Linked DNA regions of Lepisosteus oculatus. The protein of the gene in region 1 interacts with the protein of each later gene in a pairwise test. Links are inferred from orthologs where the notes say so. Each region holds a gene or a part of one and is shown in the gene's direction. Other genes may lie near its edges. The genes, in order: chd3, serbp1a and sirt6.

Region 1 (3,750 bases):
TTTTTTAAATGAGGTATTAGTGTGTTCACTGTTTAAGTTGTATTATTATTAATTTCCCCTATTCCTTCATCCAGCTTACATTTGATACCATAATTGTGTAAAATATATTGGTGTAGTTCATTAACACAGCTATATATTTACAGGAGTCCAGGCATTCTTTAATAAAAACAAAATATGTAACTAGTTATTATAATTCCCTCAATGGCTATTTCTTCAGTTGTTTTAAGTATTTCATTTCCTCTTAGGCGCCTTCTGTATTTAATGGTTACAGACACCACCTCCTTCATCCTGTGCTCGTCTCAATCACATCAATAAATCGGCCACCCATGTCTACGTGTCGTGTTGAGCAGCATCCCAAAGCGCTTTTACAACAAGTCGAACTGCAGAATAATTGTAGTTAAAAGTCCGGCGGAGGCATCACGCGTAATAAAATAAGGCAATTTCGTCGTTTTCTGCTCGCCGCACGTTTGATTAAAATATATATACGCGTTAATTACCCCTGTGTATGTTAAAAACAAATACGTCCTCTATAACCTAAAGGTTTTCACAGTTTCACGACTATCATTATTATTAATACTAACAACCTACAAACGTCTAGGAATTTAGTCATCGGATATTTTACATCTCGGTGCTTGATTTGAACAAAAAAAGTGGCTTCACTTTTCATACGCTGCAAGTATATTTCTGTTCTGCATTTGAAGATAACTCTGAACTTCGGTTTTAAGCCTGTAAATCGCGCTAAATTGGCTTTGGGTGTTTTTTGTTCTTTTCGGCGCAGAAATGTAGAAGTTGCATTTTAATATAGCGAGCTGATGTAAGCACGAATAACCCCCCCTCTCTCTCTCTCTCTCCCCAGCCTCCAGCTCCCTCTTCCTAAATCATTTTATTTCGGGGTGGGGGCCTTTAAAGATATGAAGGGAGCCATATTTGTTAGATTTCGCATCGCTTTCTGCAGTGCGGGGAGTGAGGGTTATAAGAATGCTCTCGAAACAAAGGACAGTAACCAGCGCTAATACACATGAAAAAAACAACGCGATAATGTGATTTACGTGCAACGAATACACCCTTTATTTGACAATGTGTGTATGTTTTTTTTTCAGAATGGAGGGAGGGGAGAGTGGAGAGAGAGAGAGCGAGTGAGAGGAGGGGGGGCGTTTTGAAATAATATAGTCAGCCATTTTTTATGTAAGGGGATTTTTTTTTCTTATTGGGGGGGTTGTTAAAAAATAAATATAAGGGCGGCCATCTTTGTTTCTCTGCCTTGTGTGTAAAATATTCCAAAACGCCCCCCATTTTTTTTGGCCGATTTGAATATTAAATAAATTTCATAATTCCGGGAGAAGACCTTTTTTATTTCCTATACACTGGGCCGGCAACAGGAAAAATGTCCTCTCCTCTTCGAGGCTGTGAGGAAGATGAGGGCATGGCGGTTAACTCCGAGGGTGGAGATTTCGATGAAGAAGAAGACGGGGAAGACGGAGCGCTGGACGAGAACACAAGCGACATATATTCGCCGGCGGCGCCTAGAGAAACTGCAGCAGTAGCCGCGCCAGGTACAGTACGGGCTGCCTAGACACGGGAGCGCGCATAGGAACAACCTTAAACAATCATAAGAATAATAATCGGAATGCAAATAAATCCCATTTTAATACTGTTCATTACCTGTTCCACACCGTGATGAGATAGCACTGAAACTGCTTTAGGAAGTCTAAAGAGTTAAAGCGCAACTTTAACCAAAGTACTGTGCCGAATCGACGAAGCTTGAAGCTTTTTTTAAAAAAAAAGATTCTTTCGCATAGCTACCTAGTTTTGAGAGCCCCCCACAACACACACACCACCACACTACAACCCCGTAGAAGACGCACACTTTCCATTTCCCTGTCTCCCCGTGTAATACATATGTACATATCTTATCAATGAAGTACGTATGAATATCTTATCATTGTTGTCGCGATTGACACCCGCTGTGGCGCCGTGACCTACACGTCTGTACCTTCCTATTTTGTTGTTTTTGTTGGTAAATGTAGAAAAAAAATGTTTTATTTTGGAGGGAGGAGGATTCTGGAGTGACCGGATTCATGAAAGAGGGTGTTGGTGCGTGTGTGCCGAGTGTGAGAGTCACTGACACGCCGCTGACCCTCCCCGCTGTCTGTAACTGTTGCGGGTGAGAGCGTACACAAACCACACTGCGAGATAGTGTTTTTCCTTCCAGTGCTGTCTGTGTGGGGGATCTCCCAAGCGACCCCCAATTATACAGATCAGATGGTTTCTTTCTCTACAGGAGAGAGAGAAACCCGAGAACAGCGATGCATAAACACATAAAAGACCTGTCTGCTTCACCCCCCGAACCTTCGAGATGTTTAAAGTTCATAAAATGAGAAACAGCCCCATATTTCTTAAAATCTGCAGTTATATTGCTATTAATGTCGGTGTCGATTGAATGAATACATTCGGAAGTAACCAAAACTATGAAATGAGTTAATTTCGCATATTTAATGTATTGAAAATACCTAGATGTATATAGGCTATACGTACGTTTAATATGACCTTTATATATTGTAATATTAAATTAAATTATTAAAAACAGTAAATAGTACATACAGTTAAAAAAACAGTGAATTCAAATCTTTATTTATATACACAAGTGATATTCAATTTCGATAACGCTGGGGTGGGTTCTGCCACTAAAAAACAAGTTATATGAATATAAATAACTTGTAAAAATGTAGTTTCACAAGCATATTTGTGTACCAGGATCTTTAGATGTAGGCTTTTTTTAAAAAAGAGTATTTGATAACGTTACCTCAAGAAAAAACAGTAGAAAACAACCAGAAACCTTTTGCATTCGGCAGACAGAAACAGGGAGACAACTACCGTGTCATTAGGGCGAGGTTCGCCTACCATCTTTCAAATATTGCCCCCCAATAGAAAAAGAGAACAGGTTTGGCGAGACACAGTCCGTGTCCCCCGATAACCCCTGCATCCTGACCCAGCTGTAACTTTGTGTCTGGCTGGCCGCAGGTGGCGGATATAAACTGTGGCGTCTCATCGCCTAGTTACACCAACTGAGCGCGGCGGGCCGCTGAAAGCCTGCGGGTTTGAGTAGACACCCAACCCCTCTGGCTCCGCTCTGTACTTCGGCGTGAGAGAAGTGTCTACCCCTCCCCCCCTAGTCGCGAGCTCCATTGCGTCGCCTGCGGCCAGTAAATTTCAGCAGCCTCCGAAAGCCTTGTAAACACGACAGAGATTGGCACATCACGTACACGATGGAAAAACGTGGCTGTAAAACAAAAGGGGGGAAAATACGAATTAACAGGCAAAAGACGAAACACGATTGGCGCCCTTCTGTAGCGCGGTAAAAACTACAGTCGTGTCAACGCTGAGAAAAAAAAGACCCAGGAGAGTTTTTGTGAGTATGGGAGAACACCCACTAAAGGAATTTGTTTATTATTCATTGTTCAAACACTTCAGAAAAAAATGCTGCTCTTAAAATAGTTGAGGTGTTTCGAGTTTCAACTCGGTGAATTTATCCTCCGTTCATTTCAGTTAAACGTAGGTAAGCGGAGCTAAAATGAAAGACCGGTTCGTTGGTTGAGCTTAACTGTAATGCTTTTTGTGTGAAGCCGGAAACTGATTTAATTTATTCTTTTGGTTTTTTTTTAGTTTTATGTTTCCGTGTTGTACGAATGGCATGTTTTTTACTTCTCTCAATCCGCAGGACCGGGATGTTTGTGGGACTAAGTTTTGACA
Region 2 (3,750 bases), on another chromosome or scaffold:
TTGGAAAGCTAATCTGAATGGGGGATGGTTGATCAGATCAGATGTCAACAATTAGGTCACAGACAGCCACCTTACAAGATGGTTCTTTGCCATTTTGTTTTATTCAGATCCTCTTGTACTTAAAAAAAACGATCATTTAATCAAATCAGCTGCTGTATTAGTTCATATAACCATAGCTAGAGGTAATGCAAATTCATAGGACTACTCGCTGTCTGTGCTTATTATGATACTGTTGGTACTGCATATACTGCAAAAGCCAGCATAATTGAAAATACAATTTCATTTAGAGATAAAGAGTAAAACATAAAAAGCAAAATAGCGTTATTTTCAAATTTTGGAATTAGAAAAATTAGAGAAATCAGTCAATGGTAAATGCACTAGCTGACTAAATGCAGGCAGACTCAATTTAAACCAGGCACATAAATGCAAAAATTGTCACGCTGGATGGCTGTGCTATCAAAGAATGGCCTCATAGCACATTACTGTTATACTCCTTTTCTAACTTCACAATTTCAAAAAGCTTGGAAATAACAACCATAATCTCCCACTATATTCCATTCAAGACCCCTATTTAAAAATGCATTAGATGGTGCTTCAGGCAATTGTTATAAAGAGCAATTCTCGTTGAAACGCTAACGCTTTTAAATGCTTAAGTAAAATATTTTTATTAAATGTTACGGTGAGAAAATGTTAAAGCACACTGGTTGTGAACGAGAGGCCTGCGCCACCATGTTTTCAATAAAGCTTTCACTTGCTACAAAGCAACACTCCTTAGGCGCTGTTCAAAATGTGTACTCCACTGTTTGAAATGCATGATACCATTAAAATCAAATTACATAGCATCAGCCTCTAATGCTAGTATTGATCATGTGAATGAAATGAAAGTGAATGAAAGCTTTCAGTGATTAGACTGACAATTCTGAGCATCTGCAGACCAAGAAAAATTAAATGAAACCACACTGACACAAGCGTGCACGTTCCCTTTCAGTTTACCAACAGCATGCCATGCCGAGCGCTACTAGTTACAGTTCCCAAGCAGACGTTTTTCAAGAACAGAAACAAGCACTTTAGCTGCAGATGCTTTCCGGGACTTGTAGTCTTTCACTGCAGCTCCTGCAATATGTTTCTAGAGCCCTGCCTCTATTAAAAACTACATTCTCCATGTGGCAGCGAGCTTGAAGTCCCGGATGTCTATCGCGCCGGAAGAGAAGACGGTCTCTTTCCCGGCCATCTTGTGGCAGCATCAAGCGAGCTGTTCGCTTCAAGCCTCGTAGAATCGGAGGAGAATCCCGCTGAAGGGGCGCCATCATGCCCGGACACCTGCAAGAAGGCTTCGGCTGCGTCGTAACTAATCGGTTCGACCAGCTATTTGATGACGAGAGCGACCCCTTTGAGGTGTTAAAAGCGGCCGAGAACAAGAAGAAGGACGGGGCCGCCACTGCTACCGCCAAGACTGCTGCTCAAGCCGCTAAGCAGCCGAAAAAAGAGTCGCAGAAGGACAGAAAGAACCCGCTCCCTGACAAGAAGGAAGAGACACAGGCTCCTGTGCCTCTCAAAAAAGAAGGTGACTTTTTTCCCCCTTTCTCTGGTCAGTGGACTGCGTATTTCAGAACATGGAAGGGGGTTGTGTTAATGTTACTGCGTAAACCCCCCATGAGGTCAACAACATGGTTCCTATTCTAAGCCAGTCAGACAGTAGTTCAGTGCCTTATACACGCTCGGCCAAGCTAAAAATGTACGCCTTTGGGGACTCGAAAATGCATTCTTCCTGTAGTCTCCCGGTGGTACCTGCGCATGCTTTATCCGGTGCTGAAGGGGGTCTAGATACGGTTAATTCTTTAAAATGCGTTTCCTAGTACCAGGCCTGCAAGATACTGCAGAGCGGGGAGGTTGCTGAAGTGTTTCGGTCTGATTAAAGCAGTTCCAACGCCGGCTACAGCAAGGCTCTCTCGCAGAGGCCTGGCGCTGCAGCAGTCAGGTCGCCAACCTCGTGGTGGAAGTTTGGGGAAGGCTGTCGAGCTGTCACAGCACTCGGAAGTCGATCTTCGCGAGTCGTCGCTCGCCGTGGAAGGCGTGGTGCTGGGAGCTAGCGAGGGAATTTTTAAACAATCGTTTGACCCCCTCGGCGTCGTTGGGCTTCATCAGTTTTGTCCTCTGCATGTGACGCAAACGGGCTCGTTCGTTTGCATGCATTCCTTTTAGATTTTAGTCCAGCGGCATGTACATCTCGGAACAGCTCTCACGTGCTTTGTTTGCATGATGTCGACTTCACGCCTGTATCGGGCAAACAGGAACCGCGCTAGGGCTTTATTCTAGTACCTCGAAAATTGTTTTTTTTTCCCCCCCAAACACGAGCTTGCGGACCTTTCTTGGGATGCACCCAACAAAATTCAAAATGGACTCGTTTTTATTTCGACTAAACCTGGAACTGGGCGCTTGATTTTTTTTCTAAAAATAGACGCATCCTTTGTAATCGTTTTAAAACGAAAGTGGGCGTTTACCAATTCAGTAAAAGGGCTTAATTTAGATAAAAAGTCCAGTTTGGTCCCATACAGAAGAGGCGTCCCCAACAGGTGCACATCCAAATGTGCCAGCAGCTGTCGGGTTAGGCTATATGGAGGTGTTCTGCCTGAGGGCTGTTTTTTGGAGGGGGGTGGGGTACAGATGCACTGGCTCTTAGAATTGGGAACCTTTTGACCAAATGATTTCTCTTGGTATATTGAACTAGATCTCCATCTAGTAGCAAAAGTTGTAACTTACCTCTTGAGAACCCAATATTGTGGGTTTTTTTCACTTAGTGAAGTGGTTTCACACCTTTCCAGCTCCAGTCGCCACTCATGCTGTAAGTCAGCATTATCATTATTCAGTTCATACTACATACAGGAGTTAACACATGCTTTTTGATTTGGTATGTACAAACTCGCTTGTTAAACCTGGTTTCTGCTAATTAGCTTATGACGCATTCGAAAAATACTCAGGAGTGTAAAATACATAAATCACCTGCTAATTAAGTTGGGGGTGCATTATAAAAAAAAAACATTTTAAGTCTTCTAACATCTTTCTTAACTTCACAGCAAACTAGCATTATGTCCTTTAGGAATTAAAATTATAACAGGTTGAGTTAATTTCTTCGTTTTAGCGGTTGTCCAGTTTGAAATCCACGTATACTTTTATATTCCAAAGCTGTAATTGAGTTCAGTAATCTAATTTATTTCTTTTAAATTGGACAGGACCAATAACACGTTGCGAGTTGAATCTGAATCGTGCTTCCCTGTTCACGGATGAAGGATTAGATTTTTCAGGCCTAACTCACCAGCTGGCTTTCTATTTCAGGTATCAGGAGAGTTGGCCGTAGGCCTGACCAGCAGTCCCCACACCAGGGGCAGCAGTCCCAGCAGCAGGGCTCTCAGCAGCAGGGGGGTCAGGGAGAGGGCAGGCCCGGCGACAGGAGGCCAGACAGGAGGCCCCCACGCGACCGCCGCTTTGACAAGCCTGCTGAAGAAAAGCCCGAAGGTGGAGAGTTCTCTGTGGAGAAGTAAGCTTACGAACAGTATAAGGGTTAGGAAGCTGTGGAAGGGGATGTTTATGGGCTGAGTTGGGGGCTAGTGGTTTTTTTGGGGGGGAGAGAAATGATTTCAGTTTTCCCAGACTTTGCAGAAAAAATGTAGATATGCCAAGCCATCAGCCCCTACATTAAAAAAAAAGCACATCAGTTACAACACAAAAATGTGTTCCTCAATGTTCAAAAGC
Region 3 (3,750 bases), on another chromosome or scaffold:
GTTGGTTATTGTCTATGTGCGTGTATGTGTGTGACTGTGTGTCTCAGTGTCAGTTATATCAGTTCGTGTACATATGTGTATTTATGTGACTGGGTTGGTTATTGTCTATGTATGTACGTGTGTGACTGTCTGTCTTTATTGGTTATTGTGTATGTGCATGTCTGTCTGTGTGTGACTGTGTCGGTTGTTGTCTATGTCTGTGTGTGTGACATTGTGAGTGTGTGTCTCTCTTACTTCATTCTTTTTAAACTTGGCCTTAAGACTCTTCATCCTGTAGGCTCTGTAGCTCAACCACTCTCAGATCCTAAAGGAAAAACAGAAAGAAACACATACTGTATGGTTTAACTGTATAGTCAATAGACCAATAGACTTTTTTTAATCTCGTTGTAGATATACTTTCTGACACTTAAGGGTGAAAACAACTCAAACTTTATGGGAAATACAAAGGCTTTCTTACAAAAATAACTGCCTTTTGTTTTTTTAATTCACAGAAGAATCGAGCACTGTTAGATGTGGTATAAGAACACGTCTGGTGTAATACGTGCCTTAGGAATTAATTTCTACAAAAATACTTTACAAAGTTAACCGTGCTGGGAACAGTATGTGCGGAGTACTCACATTCCTAGGCACTAGACAACACAAGACGCGAAATACAGTTGTAGTAATGTTAGTAAATTTAAACTAAATTCAAGAGTCGTACTGTACGCACCTGCGTCGCGCGCCACCTCTCGCTGACGGCTGAGGAGAGGGGAGACTCGAGCCGGGCTCGAGCTCGCTGGGCTCGCCTGTCTCGCTCCTGATTCGACCAATCAGCTGCAAGAGGGGGCGGAGCCTGAGGGGGCGGGTCCAGTGCCTGGCGTGACTTCGAGACCCCATATGAGCACAGAGAGCATCTCTCTTCGTGTCAGTTGACAAAAAGATCTTAGAAAGACACAAAAACACATCCCGGCGAACAGAACTGCGTGAGAACTACCACCAGGAGGTCGTACTTGGTACAAAGTGTGGATCAAGCCGCCCTGTCTTCCTTTGAAAAACAGCTGGTTGAGATCCTCTGGTCTATTCGCTACTATTGATTAGCAATACAGGTCTACAGGTGTACTCAAACAGTGTATTATTATAATGAATAGAACTAAGAGTAGTTAAAGTAGTAAAATTATAAGTAGTAACTTCTTATAAAGTAGGCGTATGTATACAATCAATTTAAACAAAATACAGAATAAAATATTTTGATCGCTTTTCCGAAACCTCAGTCAAGGGGAAAGTTAAACCGGGGTTTCGGCTGCTGTCGGGAACAGGGGAGCGTCTCCTGCCTCTTGGCCCCTCCCCCTGATGGACACGCCCCCCGATGCGTGCTTACGTCGGCGACGCCCCGATGACGTAGGGACGAGGGGGGCGGGTGTTGTATTGATGTGCTAGCGCGAACTGTTAACAATAGTCACAACCAGAGCATTAAGTTTATGATTTTAAGCACACAAAAAAAAGATACGTGACTGTTTAGAGCCGCAGTCCCATAGCTACAGGGCGCAGGGCCATGTCTGTTAACTACGCGGCGGGACTCTCTCCCTATCCGGACAAAGGCATCTGCGGTCTCCCGGAGGTAAGAGCCCGAAAGCTAGGCCGCAGCCTCGGACTTTCCTGTAGCGGAGAACTGGAGGGACTTGTTTACCTGTGAGCACAGCGCCGGCGGAAGCAACAAAGCGCCGGTGTCCGGCGTGTTACTGGACAGCGGCCGTGTGAGCTCCTGCACTGACTGACAGGCGGCGGTTCTGTGCAGCCCGGCGGCTGGAGAGATGTTCTGTTAGAGCAGGGCTGGACATCCCTGGGATACTTCACCAGTATCTGGAGTTAAAAACTGAGATGTGTTATACAGCAGCTGTAGCGCTAGTATTAACAGCATTAACCTGAAACACGTACCAAGTTCTGGGGGGAAAAGCTTTTAACCCTCGGGGGCGAGGCTGGGGTTCCGGTTCCGGTTCCGGTTCGGGTTGGGCGCTGCGGTTCTGAGGGCACAGGTCCCGCTGTGTCCCAGGCTGTTCCTGTGAGTCTGAGTCTCCCCCTCTCCTTGCGTGCAGGTGTTTGACAGCCAGGAGGAGCTGCAGGAGAAGGTTCGGGAGCTGGCCCGGCTGGTCCGCGAGTCCCGATACATGGTGGTCCACTCTGGTGCTGGGATCAGCACCTCCTGCGGCATCCCGGACTTCAGGTACGCACCCACCTGCCGGACACCATGCTGAGGTTCTGTACCGGCCCAGCGGGTGCAGGGAGATGTTCTGTACTGACCCGGCTCTGTGGTGCTGACAGGTCCAGGGAGGTGTTCTGTACCGGCCCGGCTCTGTGGTGCTGACAGGTCCAGGGAGGTGTTCTGTACCGGCCCTGCTCTGCTGTGCTGACGGGTCCCGGGAGGTGTTCTGTACCGGCCCGGCTCTGTGGTGCTGACGGGTCCAGGGAGGTGTTCTGTACCGGCCCGGCTCTGTGGTGCTGACAGGTCCAGGGAGGTGTTCTGTACAGGTCTGGCTCTGTGGTGCTGATGGGTCCAGGGAGGTGTTCTGTACCGGCCCGGCTCTGTGGTGCTGACGGGTCCAGGGAGGTGTTCTGTACCGGCCCGGCTCTGCTGTGCTGACGGGTCCTTTGACTGCTGAAGCGTGTAGCCAGCAGGGAAGCAGCCAGGATGAGTAGATGTGTCTGCAGATACTGTGAAGAGCCAGTTAACACAATAATAATAATAATAATAATAATTCCTCACACTTATATAGCGCTTTTCCGGACACTCCACTCAAAGCACTTTACAGGTAATGGGGATCCCCTCCAGCACCACCAATGTGCAGCCCCACCTGGATGATGCGACGGCAGCCATAGTGCGCCAGAACGCTCCCCACACATCAGCTCTCAGTGGGGAGGAGAGTAATGAAGCCAGTTCAGAGAGGGGGGTTATTAGGAGGCCATGATTGTTAAGGGCCCTGGGATTTTTAATGAGCCCAGAGAGTCGGGACCTCGGCTGCCGGAGCCGTGGGGGAAACGTCTCGGGCATCGTGGAGAAATTTCCAAGGTGTTTATCGTTTTGTTGTTTTGTACCCCAGTCTCCCATCCCTCTTTGTACCCCTTAATGTTTGCACAGTTCATCTCTGTATTATTATTATTCGTTCAATTAAGAGGAAGGGTAGCCGCCAGTGGGTCCCTTAGCTGCTGTGCTGCTTTATAACCACCAGGGGGAGGCAGTTCCCCATGGTGGCGCCCCTGCTGTTCTGGCTGGCTCTAGGGTTGCCATGGAGACAGATGCAGGTCAGTCTGGGTCTGAGTTAGACACACAGATGGCAACAGACACATGGAGTCATTCTTGTATAAAAAGGCTATAGAAAAAGATGTACTTAACGTTTTCATGTCTTAAATTCTTGAGGTGTGTCTTGTTGTGCAGAAAGGGTATTTTCCAAGAGTGTATTTTTTTTTATTAAGTTTGAGGAGAGCCTACTTTTGGGCCAGCAGGGTGCGGAGAGGGGGGTGTGACGCCGGGGACCGTTTCCCGGGCGCTGGCGTGTGTGCCGGTCGCGTGTGGGGCCGTGTGCCTGGTGCACACGCAGGGGGGGCCCGGTCACTGCCTCATCGGCCCCCCCGGCGAGCGTTGGCGGAGCGCGAGGCCCGCGCCCGGGTCGCTGGGGGCGAGGCTGGCGGGCGGACGCAGTCGAGCGAACGCTGATGGCGCGCTGTCCTCTCGGGCAGGAGCTGTGTGTGTCACAGGCAGGAAGAGCTGCTGGGAGA

Evidence for each region.
Region 2: the proteins of chd3 (region 1) and serbp1a interact in binary tests that used the Homo sapiens proteins (3 or more experiments, as listed by UniProt). The link is inferred for Lepisosteus oculatus from reciprocal best matches to the Homo sapiens genes CHD3 and SERBP1.
Region 3: the proteins of chd3 (region 1) and sirt6 interact in a two-hybrid assay, tested with the Homo sapiens proteins (2 studies listed by BioGRID and IntAct). The link is inferred for Lepisosteus oculatus from reciprocal best matches to the Homo sapiens genes CHD3 and SIRT6.

What each region holds. Positions count from the first base shown.
Region 1 is NC_090698.1:7,525,340-7,529,089, forward strand, and holds the start of chd3 (chromodomain-helicase-DNA-binding protein 3), read left to right. Parts: upstream 1-925; 5' UTR 926-1,384; coding exon 1,385-1,553; intron 1,554-3,750.
Region 2 is NC_090704.1:13,441,651-13,445,400, forward strand, and holds the start of serbp1a (SERPINE1 mRNA-binding protein 1), read left to right. Parts: upstream 1-1,204; 5' UTR 1,205-1,308; coding exon 1,309-1,588; intron 1,589-3,333; coding exon 3,334-3,535; intron 3,536-3,750. UniProt on the Homo sapiens protein: Ribosome-binding protein that promotes ribosome hibernation, a process during which ribosomes are stabilized in an inactive state and preserved from proteasomal degradation.
Region 3 is NC_090724.1:9,168,431-9,172,180, reverse strand, and holds the start of sirt6 (NAD-dependent protein deacylase sirtuin-6), read left to right. Parts: upstream 1-1,253; 5' UTR 1,254-1,531; coding exon 1,532-1,597; intron 1,598-2,072; coding exon 2,073-2,200; intron 2,201-3,750. UniProt on the Homo sapiens protein: NAD-dependent protein deacetylase, deacylase and mono-ADP-ribosyltransferase that plays an essential role in DNA damage repair, telomere maintenance, metabolic homeostasis, inflammation, tumorigenesis and aging.